Arabidopsis thaliana: one gene and its partner. The protein of the gene in region 1 interacts with the protein of each later gene in a pairwise test. Each region holds a gene or a part of one and is shown on either strand. Other genes may lie near its edges.

What was found.
Region 2: the proteins of ABCG13 (region 1) and AT1G49730 interact in a protein complementation assay, tested with the Arabidopsis thaliana proteins (one large-scale study listed by BioGRID).

What each region holds. Positions count from the first base shown.
Region 1 is NC_003070.9:19,075,691-19,083,307, reverse strand, and holds ABCG13 (ABC-2 type transporter family protein), read left to right. Parts: upstream 1-1,856; 5' UTR 1,857-1,972; coding exon 1,973-2,159; intron 2,160-3,741; coding exon 3,742-3,821; intron 3,822-3,905; coding exon 3,906-4,367; intron 4,368-4,441; coding exon 4,442-4,564; intron 4,565-4,646; coding exon 4,647-4,808; intron 4,809-4,895; coding exon 4,896-5,180; intron 5,181-5,262; coding exon 5,263-5,535; intron 5,536-5,630; coding exon 5,631-5,738; intron 5,739-5,819; coding exon 5,820-6,176; 3' UTR 6,177-6,470; downstream 6,471-7,617. Other genes in the region: TRO (TRAUCO), read right to left, coding at 7,088-7,353.
Region 2 is NC_003070.9:18,401,761-18,407,963, forward strand, and holds AT1G49730 (Protein kinase superfamily protein), read right to left. Parts: upstream 3,922-6,203; 5' UTR 3,879-3,921; coding exon 3,710-3,878; exon of another isoform or gene 3,343-3,709; coding exon 2,788-3,342; intron 2,719-2,787; coding exon 2,431-2,718; intron 2,351-2,430; coding exon 2,086-2,350; intron 2,002-2,085; coding exon 1,949-2,001; intron 1,868-1,948; coding exon 1,800-1,867; coding exon of another isoform or gene 1,755-1,799; exon of another isoform or gene 1,733-1,754; coding exon of another isoform or gene 1,696-1,732; coding exon 1,606-1,695; intron 1,530-1,605; coding exon 1,445-1,529; intron 1,367-1,444; coding exon 858-1,366; 3' UTR 746-857; downstream 1-745. Other genes in the region: ABF1 (abscisic acid responsive element-binding factor 1), read left to right, coding at 1-64, 182-253, 339-393, 517-602; AT1G49740 (PLC-like phosphodiesterases superfamily protein), read left to right, coding at 5,968-6,051.

The sequences.
Region 1 (7,617 bases):
TCTATTGCACATATATTTTATTAGGATATTTCTAGCATTTATGGACCACAAGAAAATAATTATAGTTGTTTTTTTTTTGGTTAAACAAAAAATTGATTATAGTTATGATATGGAAAAGATGGAAGAAGTCATTTAATAAGTTTATCTAACAATCTATGATTAGGTTATCGCAGTAATGAATTTTCTTTCTTAGCAGAAATGAATAATTTAGTCACACTAACTACATAGCTTTAATTTCTGTTGATACAATTGAAGACAAGAAGACATAAACGTTGAAACAGTGTATTTGGTACTGTGTATGTGTTTGATTAGCACGAAACATGGTTAAAAACATCACATGGTTAAAACAAATCCGTCACCATCTGTTTTTTTTTTTTTTTTTACAACATACTTGTTTTCCATTCGTCATATCCGAAAGAGAATAAATTTGCAAGCTCTTCAAATTCATGGTTCGGTATTATAATCTTAAAAAAAATATATAAACTTACAATATAAATAGAACGATAGGTTTGATAAACAATAAAAATAGATGATAGGGGGCCATAAATAAAAACTCGAAAACAAAAGTTAAATAGCAAAATGCAACAAGCAAGCTCATGATGTGTCGAATACACTTCTGCAAACAATTTGGGGGAGATTAAAAATAGTCACTATAAAAAAAATCTTATGACGTTGAGAATCCGTCTTTTGCCTCAAAAATTACCAACACGAACCACATTGAAGCAGCAAGGAACATTGGACGGTTTCTTTCCAGAGGCAGAAACTAAATAGTATATCTCAATAAGAAATTTAACATACGACCAAAATTAATTGCTTTATAAAAATAATTAAAATATTAATGATAACCTTTTCCGTGGTTAATTTTCGGCCATTATGATAAAATAATTGATCCAATCATATGTTTACACAACATACTTAAAATTCCTTATATACTCTCTTGATTACTTTCTTACCAGTTACATAAACTCAATATGCAACAACTAGATTACTTTAATCTAAACGTTCTGATATACGGCCTTATGTCGATGTTAAGTTATATATATCACGTTCACAATGTATATAAATAATTCAAATAATTTTCCAAAAGTAATGGCGTCTAAATATAGTTGAGTTGAATAGTATAGACTCTCCTCATGGATTTGAATTTCCTCTGTGATTCGTTTGAAAAAAAACAATGTTTTGGAGTGCTATACTAGTTGATACACCCAACCAAATCGGAATTTTATAAAAAATTTGGACAAAATTACCAGAAAATAAAATTATTGCAATTTACGTGATATATACCCTAAAGTGTTATGTTTCCTTAAATCGTGTAACGAAACCATAAGTTTCTTATCATGCGGATGTCTGTAGCTCTCGACATATATAGTACCGAACGGGTCCAACGAGTAAATGAATATAACATCAAACGTCAATTTTTCTGTCACATGCCTCGTCTATGCATGCATGATAGTGTACATATATAATAGTTTCCTTTCTGTCTTTTACACTATTCTTAATCCACTTTTCTGTTTTGCATGGGTAGATATTTTGTTTTGGTTTCATAAAATAAATAGAAACCAATATCATTTAGTTTGGTTCGATTTTTCTTCGGATTCTAAATTTTTTTTATTTTATTTTAACTAAACTATATGTTTTATTTATTTTTAGTCATGATTTATTTTATATATCAAAAATATGTAACCGAATTTATTACATCTAGTTTTTTCCAATCACTTTCTTTGGTACAGTTTCGGTTTGACTCAAATTAGTTTAAACCAATTTGGACCACCCTAATTTATACATTTTTTTTTTCAAAGACCCTAGTTCTCTTAATACATTCACCGCACAACTTTTTATAACTATAAATAAGGCCACAAGCATTCACACACATTACACTTTTCTCTCCCAAAGAAACAAAAAAAAAAACTCTTAAGCTAGAACAAGTTTAAAACTCTTCGCTCAGTTTTCGATCTATCTAACAAAAGCATACATGACTACGCCGGAGGGGGCGATGTATGTGGCGTGGGAGGATCTTACGGTGGTGATACCAAACTTCGGTGAAGGAGCAACTAAGAGATTACTGAATGGAGTGAATGGTTGTGGTGAGCCAAATAGGATCTTAGCTATTATGGGTCCTTCAGGTTCAGGCAAATCTACGCTTCTTGATGCTTTAGCAGGTCCCTTCTCTCTCTCTCAGACACACACACCCATACATGTCAAGATTAGCTCGTCGTTTTTATTATGTATTTCTTTTATTGTTAAATGGTTTTCCTCTATTATATAAATCTCAAATAAGCTGAAGCAACATCGACCAACAATTAAAAGATATAGTTTTTAGAGGAATTTAACAACCAACCACATTTAGCTTTGAAACCAACATTAAAGGATGAGACTTACCCACTTTGAACCTAGTATTTAGTGAATCGTTCTATGTACTCTATATATATATATATATAACTATAATTAACAATATACATGACGTTATGTCTTTCTTTTAAAAAATTGTCCAAGGAAACTTTCTCAATATACTATGTAAAAAGTGTTTCACTTTTGGAAAATAAGAAATTTCTGTTTTCTTACATTAAAAAATATTCACAAATCTTTTAGTAATTTTTATTTGGAATTGATAAGGATTTCTGCCATTCGTAGTTAAATTTGAGAATATAAGTTAGAATTTATTTGTTAGATATATATATATATATATATATATAGGTGTATGTCTGTGCGTGGGTGGGTGTGTGTCCTATTCAACATAAAATATTTAATTATTATTAACCTGTAAATTCGTATGTAATCAAAATTAACTAATATGATACTTGATTAGTTTTTTGTATATTGGAAAAATACATTACTACAATAAAATTGATAACTTTCCTATTTGAAAGCAACAAACTATGTACATACTGTATCAGTATCACAATTTGGTGAAATGAAAATATTAACTGAAGTTTTTGTACTCTTCTGTAATTTTTTTTTTTTTTCTTCTGTAACTTTGACCAAACGTAACATATATATATGTAAAAGAAATTTGAGAGCATGATATAACATATTTATGTATCAAGATATTTATAACTATTGAAAAACAGTGCTATATTTATATCTAAGTTTCATGTACACGATGAGACATATATAGATATTTCTAACTTTATATTTATGGATTCTAGCTACCAATTTTATTTTTTAAGTATAGCTATATACTATCGGAGTACTAAATAAATATTAAAAAAAAAATAGTTGCAATTTTCATGTTCTTAATTAATAAATTTACATCGTCGTACATTTAGTATTGAATAAATTGATAGTTACGTTTCTCTAACGTAGACTATGTACAGAAATTTTGCAGTAACATTTCTTATTAAATCATATTTTAAATGTTAACCAACTACCAATCACCAATATTCTGACACAAATATTTAGGATTGCACGATCGTATCTTCATACCGACTTGCGATCTCTTCACAAGTTGAACCCGGTTTGGTGACTGGTCGGACTCTTTGAGGGATGTTACGTTCAATCCAAAAACAATCCAAATCGATTATTATTTTCTTGACCAAACCTAAATTTGATTGGATTAAGAAGATCTTTATTTTATGCTTATGACTAATCGAAACCAATTTAATTTTACTGTGGCTAATATTCTTGTAAAAGCGAAAAACCCAAAACCGGGTTATAAGATTGTTCTATCAATGCTATAAGATTGTTCAAAAACATGAAAGATTTAACATCTAACATTAAAAGGTAAATTTGGTGATGGTACAGGAAGATTAGCAGGGAATGTTGTAATGAGTGGCAAAGTACTTGTCAATGGCAAGAAGAGAAGACTTGACTTTGGTGCTGCCGTAAGAAAATTTATCTTTTCTCTTTAGTTTTTACCCTTTTACACAATCAAACTATTATTATTCATGAATGTCCTAAACTCTCAGGCTTATGTGACGCAAGAAGATGTGTTGCTAGGAACTTTGACAGTGAGAGAATCCATATCTTACTCGGCTCATCTCAGGCTCCCTTCAAAGCTTACCAGAGAAGAGATCAGTGACATTGTGGAAGCTACAATCACTGACATGGGTCTTGAAGAATGTTCAGACAGGACCATTGGAAACTGGCATTTGCGTGGAATAAGCGGAGGAGAGAAGAAACGGCTTAGTATTGCCCTCGAGGTCTTAACAAAACCAAGTCTCCTCTTTCTAGACGAACCAACTAGTGGACTGGACAGTGCTTCAGCTTTCTTCGTGGTTCAGATTCTTAGAAACATAGCAAGCAGTGGCAAAACTGTGGTTTCTTCGATCCATCAGCCGAGTGGTGAGGTTTTCGCCCTCTTTGATGACCTGCTACTTCTGTCTGGAGGAGAAACTGTTTACTTTGGCGAAGCAGAATCTGCAACAAAGGTAATAAGATAGAGCATTGGCAAGAGTATATAACCATTATGCTCATTTGTGTTGTTGTTGCTTCGACATTGCAGTTCTTTGGTGAAGCAGGTTTTCCTTGTCCAAGTAGACGGAATCCATCAGACCACTTCCTTCGCTGTGTCAATTCCGATTTCGATAATGTCACAGCGGCTTTGGTTGAATCTCGGAGAATCAACGTTTGTTTTCCTCTGCCCTTCTTGTTTTTTCATGAACTTACAATACTCTCAAGCTTTTGACCTCGACCTTTTACATCTGCAGGATTCATCTTTCTCTCTTCACCAACTACATGAAACTACAAACACATTAGATCCTCTGGATGATATACCAACTGCAGAAATTAGAACAACACTTGTCAGAAAATTTAAGTGTTCACTTTATGCAGCAGCTTCAAGAGCAAGAATTCAAGAAATAGCATCGATAGTAAGTTACGGTTACTACTTCCCTTAAAACTACAATGTATCACATAATGAGAGTCTCATAAGCACAGTTATAAACCTTGTGCAACAGGTGGGGATTGTCACAGAAAGGAAAAAGGGGAGCCAAACTAATTGGTGGAAACAACTCAGAATACTTACTCAGCGATCTTTCATCAACATGAGTAGAGACTTGGGGTACTACTGGATGCGGATTGCAGTCTACATAGTGTTATCCATTTGTGTCGGGTCAATCTTCTTCAACGTCGGGAGAAACCACACAAATGTTATGAGTACTGCAGCTTGTGGCGGATTTATGGCAGGCTTTATGACATTCATGTCAATAGGAGGATTCCAATCCTTCATTGAAGAAATGAAGGTAAAGAGCTAAACAGAGAAAAATTCTCTTTCTTCACCTAAAAACTTATCTTATGTTTTAGCATCTTTATTCCTGAAAACAGGTGTTTTCTCGCGAAAGGCTCAATGGACACTATGGGGTTGCAGTATACACTGTGTCTAATTTACTCTCCTCATTACCTTTCATAATCCTTATGTGCCTCTCCACCAGCTCAATCACTATCTACATGGTGAGGTTCCAATCCGGAGGTTCTCATTTCTTCTACAACTGTCTCGACCTTATCTGCGCGATTACAACTGTGGAGAGTTGCATGATGATGATAGCTTCAGTAGTCCCTAACTTCTTGATGGGAGTCATGTTGGGAGCTGGTTACATTGTAAGAGTGGCCTCTGTCGCTCTTTCACCTACAAGCTTTCTTATATCTCCAAAAACTATTCTAAATTGAAAACCGCTTTATCCTTCATCTCATAGGGAATTATGGTGTTAAGTGCGGGGTTTTTCCGATTCTTCCCCGACTTACCAATGGTGTTCTGGCGATACCCGGTGTCCTACATAAACTATGGTGCATGGGCACTACAGGTAACCAGGTTTTCTCAACTTTAAGATGCAGACTATATCGTCAAGTAGCTATCTTAAATGAGCATACCTGATAAATTGCAGGGAGCATACAAGAATGAGATGATTGGGGTGGAGTATGATTCTCCGTTACCCTTGGTACCAAAAATGAAAGGAGAACTCATTCTTCAAACTGTTCTAGGCATAAATCCAGAAAGTTCAAAGTGGTTGGATCTAGCAGTTGTGATGATGATTCTCATTGGGTATAGGATTGCCTTCTTCGCCATCCTCAAGTTCCGGGAAAAGGTTTTCCCAGTTATTCACATGTTATACACAAAGAGAACTCTGAGCCATATCCAGAAAAGGCCTTCTTTCAGAAGAATGACACCTTTCCCTTCCAGGCGATACCCTGTTCACCATGCTCTCTCTTCTCAGGAAGGACTTAACTCTCCACTGCATTAGAAGCATATACAGCAGGATGCAATTTCCATATATTTCAATATGTCAGATGTCACTCTCTTCAAACTTGATAAACTGTTTGTAGCCCGTTGTGTAAGGAAAAAAAAAAGAAAAGAGAGATACTATCATTCTGACTAATGAGATTTGTTTAGCATGAGGATGGTATCTATCAGAGATACATATATTGGAGAAAAAAGATAAGCATGGCTACATTATCAGATTACAAGTGATGCATGCATGAACCCCTAAGAGAGAGTCTACCAACGAACCACCGTAAATATATCAAATAAGGCACTTCGTTTGCTAACATAGCTTCAGAAGAAACTGTGTTATGGAAATCAAATAAACAGAAGATGGTATGGAGATTTGTTACCTGGCTGGCAGTAGAACACTGGTCCTTGCTTGATAGCACCAGTGACGCAAATCTATAATCTGTGCAGCACAAGAACAGAACAGACCAGGCATATTTGACTTTTATCACTAAGTGCCATGAAATCTCCTCTTTTAGCATATAGTTGATAGGGAATAGAATCAAAACTAACAAAAGTAACCTCCCAAAGGCGTTTGTTGAACAGATAGAGAACAAACAACGAGATACTTAAAACCTTAAAAGTGTAAAACCAAGCAAAAATGGTAAATTTTCAACTTTGGGAACCCAAATATAAGCTCCCAGAAATATTACATAGTAAGGAAAAAAAATACACAAACAATCAATAACTTTAAACAAATATGGCTAATCCAGTTGTAAAATCAGAAAAAACCAGTCTGATTATTTTAGAGTAGACATGTACAGAACTCATTTGTTGTTCATTTGCTACCCTATGACTGTTACAACTAAACTCATCCAAATCTGAACCAAGAACTAGTTTGGGAAAACTGTGTTAAAATGTCAAGAATACGCCTGCTGGTTCTGCCTAACTCTTCATATCCTCAGAACCATTAGTTTCAAGTCTACCATTAAATCCATGATATGGAACCTCCCACATCGGCCTCGGGGTAGCACGCCCACCAAAATCCTCAGGGAAAAACTCAAAACTGGGGCCAAAATTGAACTTCACAAGACAATTTGACTGGTCGGGAAGAGTGTACATCGAAGCAGCAGGGTAGTAACGACCGCCAACAATATCTGTGAAGGCCGCTCCCTGACATACACCATTTTTGAAGAACGATATTTCACTGCCTGCATCAGAAGTAAAGGTATCGTTAACGAAAGATTGGTCATTAATCTTCCAGAATTGCACAGATACCATCTACATCATAGATGTGGAGGGTAGCAAAAACAAAACTAAGGCATTTATCTTTATGAAGAATCTCCACTATCTATTCTCTACCAAACCATGATAAAGCTACCATCACAAGCAACAACATTCATACACATTTTTAGTCTACTTAAAACATATGCGACTACCAAAAAGCAGAAAAGTCACCCCACAAGAACACGAAA
Region 2 (6,203 bases), 670 kb from region 1:
GAGAAGGCAAAAGAGAATGATCAAGAATCGGGAATCCGCTGCTAGATCAAGGGCTCGAAAACAGGTAAAGTTACCGTTTTGTTCTCAAAAACTTTGATATCAATATCATCTAACCAAACTGCCATTACCGTTTTCTTTTCAAGAACTTTGAAATCATTTTGATGTTTTGGCTAAACCTCAGGCTTATACCTTGGAACTGGAAGCTGAGATTGAAAGTCTCAAGCTAGTGAATCAAGATTTGCAGAAGAAACAGGTTTTTTTCTTCTACCATTTTTATTGCTTCTCCATAGAGAGTCTAGCTGGCTCAGTTATTTAACTGCGGTCTCTCTATGTTGCAGGCTGAAATAATGAAAACCCATAATAGTGAGGTAATAACGTTTTTCCTCTACTTATGTATATTTCATGTATACACCATCATTGTCTCTACATTACCAGACATTTTGTGTCTGTCTAAATGTAGCTCTATTGTCATTTTGATGACACACAGTTCACTGATACTAGTACTTGAATTTGCAGCTAAAGGAATTTTCGAAGCAGCCTCCATTGCTGGCCAAAAGACAATGCTTGAGAAGAACCCTTACCGGTCCGTGGTAAGAAGGTGAAGTCAAAGCAAGAAGAACCTGCTAATGTAATACAGGACCACTCAAAAGGAAGACACTGGGAGAGTAATATGTAATAGAAGATAGTGCTACTGTACAGGAGAAATTACAGAGACGCTTACAATGTAGAAATCTTTTGAGCTGAATTTAACTAAGAGTGCAGTCTGTGTAGAGTATGAGAGCTTTCAATATGAATTCATAATTTTCATAAACATATGTAAAACTTTCAGATTTAGCTATAGAGAAGATGTGACTAACTCAGAAAGAAAATCCGTTAATTGGAGAGTGAGGTAAACTCCGGCTGTAATGTGACCTGGAAGTAGTACTAGACGATGGACCAAAGATCCGGGAATCACCTCTTTGAATTCTCAAATTGCTTCTCTTCCTACTATCCCAGCCTATCTCTTCTTCAACCGCTTTAGCAAATGCGCTATGCACCGGATCACAGCTTTCACACAACAGCCTCAAGACTTGCTTAATTGATGGCCTAGACCGGCCTTCTTTCTCGGTACACAATCTCACAACCGTCACAACTGCATCAAGTTGTTTTCCTCCAGCATCATTAATAGAGTCTTTGATTCTCGGGTCTACCAACTCGAGGTGTTTTGATTTCGCCAACAAAAACCGCTGAGACATTTCCACAAGGTTCCTACCTTCATCAACTGCTCTTCTCCCGGTTATGAGCTCCAGCAACACAACTCCGTAGCTGTACACATCACTCTTCTCTGTCAACTCTTGCGTTACTACATATTCCGGATCTACATAACCTGAAAAAACTTCAAGTTTTTAAAACTCAGCTTCCATCAAAAGTAGTCAAGTTATTCTGTTCAGTATCTCTCCCAAACCTGGAGTTCCACGGATATCGGTATTCACAGGCTCAAAGCAAACAGAGCCATCTCTAGACGAATGTGCAAGGCCAAAATCTGAAAGCTGCACCAAGAAAACATTATTAGTTATCCAAATACCAAAGGGTTCTCTAACACAGAAGATGTGCAGTACTACATACCTTAGCGACGAAGTTCTCATCGAGTAATATATTGCTTGATTTAATATCTCTATGACAGAGAGGAGGATCACAGTAGAAATGAAGATATTCCTGGAGGAGAGAACAACGTGCAGCCAAGAACCAAAAACTGTAAAAGATATATTATCAAATCAGTTTACAGAGAAAATGTAGATGAAAGACTTTGGAATATTTACCAAAGCATTTGCCACATCAATTGCAATTTTCATTCTTGTTCCCCAACTAGGTGGAGGCTTTCCAATGGCTGCAAAGGAAAAAATTGAAACAAGAAAAGTATTCAACACTCAGGACTCGTACACTTATGGTAGAAGAAGCATATACATACCATGTAAGTGATCTTTTAAGCTGCCATTTTTCATATAGTCGTAGACCAAGAACCTGAATGATTGAAACAATATAAAATGAGAACACTTATGGTTTAGATAAATGCAGAAGGCGAAAAAGCAATGTATGGTTCTTCACCTTTCTTTCTTGTTGATGCAAAAGCCTTTCAAAGCAACGAGGTTACGGTGATGCAGCTTAGCTAAAAGCCCTATCTCTCTACAAAAATCTTGTTCAGCTTGTTCAGAGACTTTGTTCATCTTTTTTACCGCTGCAATCAGACCATCGTTGAACTCGGCTTTGTAAACAGTACCAAAACCTCCCTGACCGATAACCGTGTTGAAATCATTTGTTGCATTTGTCATTTCCTTGTAGCTGAACTTTCTGAAAGCTGAGGAAGAATCATCTGCAGAAAAAAGCGTTTTCAAGTCATTTCTTAGGTATCTTATATTATAAAACAAAGAACTCAACTCTCTATTTTCACACCTTCATGAATCTTGAATACAGGAAGGGAAGAAGGAACTGATTTTGTTGACTTTCTATCCAAGCTCTCAGATTCATCCAGTTCCCGGTTCTTTCTACGGATAAGAATTACCAAGACTACAAGCATCGTAAGAGCAACAGCTGTAACAACAATCCCAATGGTTGGAACCATTGTTAAGTGATATGGATTGGTGCTTCTACTTGTAGTCATTTGAGAATCACTGTTGCTTGGGCTAATACCACCAACCGTGCTTGGAGAAGGTTCTGGACTTGCCACTGGTGAAAATGACTCTGTCGATACACAATGAGTTACTAAAGAAACTGATGAGATACTAAGAAAATTGCAGTCATGAGTCTAACCTGAAGGAATGTTAAGCTCTGTCACTTGAAAGAAACAACTAAGGAGTTCAAGAGCTGATGTATCGTCTATTCGGCTTGCTAATGTAGCATAAGTCGCATCACGACAAGTACACAGAGTAATGTTATTAGTCTCTGCACCTATGAGATTACGAAGGTAAGTGATGCCAGAGTTCAAACACTTTCTGCATTGGTGTCCCGGCGAAAATGGGAGTCTGCAGTTTCTTGAAACATGTCCAAATCCCGGAGACTGATGCATTTGTGTAACAGTGGTTCGACCGTCACAGTCATACTTAACAAGGATCTTGGTTCCCAAACCGCAGAAACTAGTGGCGTTTCTCGAGACTCCGTAGCCCTCCATGGCTCTAGAGATGGAAGCAATGCAGGTTTCAGATAAATCTGATGTGACTCCAAGATTAGTTGACAAGTTCGCGTAACGAGCCACGGACACCGCAACAAAAGCGTTCATGTAGCGGCAACATTTGCCTCTGTTGGTTATGTTGGAGCACACAGTAGCTACTAGAGTGAAATTTGATCCACTGAAATCTAATGGACAATCTGCAAACACACATGACAATGCAGCATTAGTGTCTGGTAACCTATAAAGATTGGTCCGCAAGTTTCAAGCTTTTAACTTTCTAACCACAATAGCTTGAAAAGAACAAACAAAGTTTGAATTTTTATGGTTTCTCAAGATCTGATTTCAATTTAAAAAGAGAGTATTTTTGCATGTAAGCAACTAATGAACCAAAATTATGCGAATTTCCATCGAAACTCAAATCTAGTCAAAGAAAGCAACAAAATTTGCAAAATCCAGAAGCTCAAAATCCAACATTCATAATCTTATCCTGATTTAGGCAAGAACAGGATTAAATAATGAAGCTTTAAAAGAGAAAGAAACAGAGGAAAATCGATAAAGAGAAACCTGCAGCCATTAGTGAAGGCAATTGGGTAGCAAGTAATGCAATTAATGCCAACAAGAAAGCTTGACTATTCACAACCATGGCCAAGAGCAACCAGAGAGAGAAAGAGAGAAGAGAGAACGAGATTATAAAAAAGGAGTTTAACGGAAGGTCCCTGTGTGAATATGACATGCGAGGCTCTGTGTATTGTTTTGTATACTCACTGACAAGTGACAAGGAAAGAGACAAATTTTAGACTTGTCAACTATTCAATTCGTGATCATAAACGAAGACAATTGTAGAAAAGCCCCTAACTTTCTCATTTCATCTCCTTTCTAACCTACAAGTTTCTTTTATGCATAACATACCAACACTAAACTTGTGAATGTTGAAGGAAACATAAAAAAATTTGATATTCAGAAATTTGTATTAGATTAGTTTCTTTCCTGTGAAATGATTTGGACCAACACAACAAAAATACATGATTAGTAGTAGGATTAAAACTGAAAACAAATTAAAATGGAGGTCGCATGTTTGTATCATGATGTCTCATGCCATTTCGTTAATTATTAACTTTTGTTTGTTTTTATTCGTTTTTTTAAGATTATAAAAACACACAACCGTTGTATGATTGTAATTTGTAACAACAATTGTTAATTCATAATTAGTTTCTAAGCAAATATTCTACTTTGTGATAAAACGAATAATTATACCTTTGTCTTTATCTTGGAGAAGAAGAAAGGTATATATTGCTTGTTAAAAAATAAACAAACAAGCATTTATGAAGTGTTTGGTGAAGCGAAAGCGACATAAGGATAAAATGGCTCGAGTGCTTTGGGATTGATCCTAAATCATCCCAGTTTTAGTTTTGGATATAAATTCTAGACCGAATTCAAAAACGAGAAAATGAGATGGAAGTAGCAATGTGAACCCAAATGGAAATGGTCTACATAACGTTGGTAGGGTCACTCACATGTGCAACACCCTGTCATATCTCAGACCCCTCAACTGCAATATTTTTGTAAAGGTTTAGATTTATTGTATGCAATTTTTTCCTACAACATTCCAGTAATGCCATGCCATATACAAAACGTTTATATGGTCGGTCTTATGTAGGCAGGGTCGGCCCGAACCTTTTTTCTGTATGTAGGGGTTGGATACGGAATAGATATCTTATAAAAAGCAATATTTGTGATCCGTTTTGTAATTAAGGAATGACTAATAATTAGGTAATTGTTACTAATCTTAAGCTGGTTCTAGATGAATGATTGTGTAGATTGTATGATAGTCGAAAAGGTTACACAAGTTATTGAGTTTGCAAATTCATAAAAGGCAAAAGAATCAAATAAGAAGGGATGTAAAAAATGTTTCACGAGTGGTTACAAATGTGAGTGTGAATTAGAGCTGACGATTTGGGTCCCTACCTACCCAATAAAAACAAGATTTTGAAAAAGAAAAACTTCTTGAAATTCTCGTCCTTGTGCCAATTTTCCATGATTTGTAATTTATAACTTCGAGTTGGTTCAGACCTATCCCAGACCCAAACTATGTGTGAACTGGTTTAAGGATATTGTTGGCAAAGTGGGCTATGATTGGGCCGGCTGAATGGATCATCAATGGTTTGTAGAAGGAATGTGAAACTAGTTAAATGGAAAAATTGACGTGAGAAGCTATGTTAGGAAAGAAGGTATGCAATTGCGTGCAAACTTTTCTAAGTGTTTGGGCTATTGCTATCATGCCATATTTGCCTTAACATCGTCTAAGCTTCAAAGCCGTTTCATCTTTCTGTATTAGTAAAATGAAAGAAAAATAAAATTCTGTATATTTGTTTAAGTCTTTTTTTTTTCTTATGTAAAAAACAATTACAAGATAACTCACATTTTATTATTGTTGTTGATATGTCTTTCCCTTATAATTGTTGTTGTGTAAGAAAGTTCCAGGCAGAAAAAGGTCTTAGCATTAAAACCAAAAAAAATAAGAGTTTTGAAAAAGAGACCATGAAAAACAAAAGTGGCGACCAAAACAACAACAAACCCACTAATTTTGCAGCATTTATTATCATCATGTCTTCACCGACTCACGCGCACTTCCGTTCACTCTATTTTTATCCTTAAAATCCTCTCATTGTATTTACTTTATTTTATTTGTTTCTTAGAATCTTTTTCACGCAAATGCAAACCACCAACAAATCTATATTCTAGCATGATGATGAAGTAGCTACTTGCTTCTTCTTCTTCTTCTTCTTAAATTTTGGGGTTTTTACTTTTTGGTGAAGACAGCCATGTTTCAAAGATTATTACTCTTCCTTCTCATTGCTCTTCTGCTCCAATCTTCTTTCCTTTTAGAGATTTCCTCTGCTCTCAAGGTAACCAAATCTCATCAAATCTTACAACATTTACATTTGTGTCTGTCCTCTGTTCCGACCAAAAGACAGAGGATCTTTATTAGTTTTGCAGAAACATACAATTAATCATCGAGTACTATAGAAATTGGTAGTCTAAAAATCTTGTTTTAATC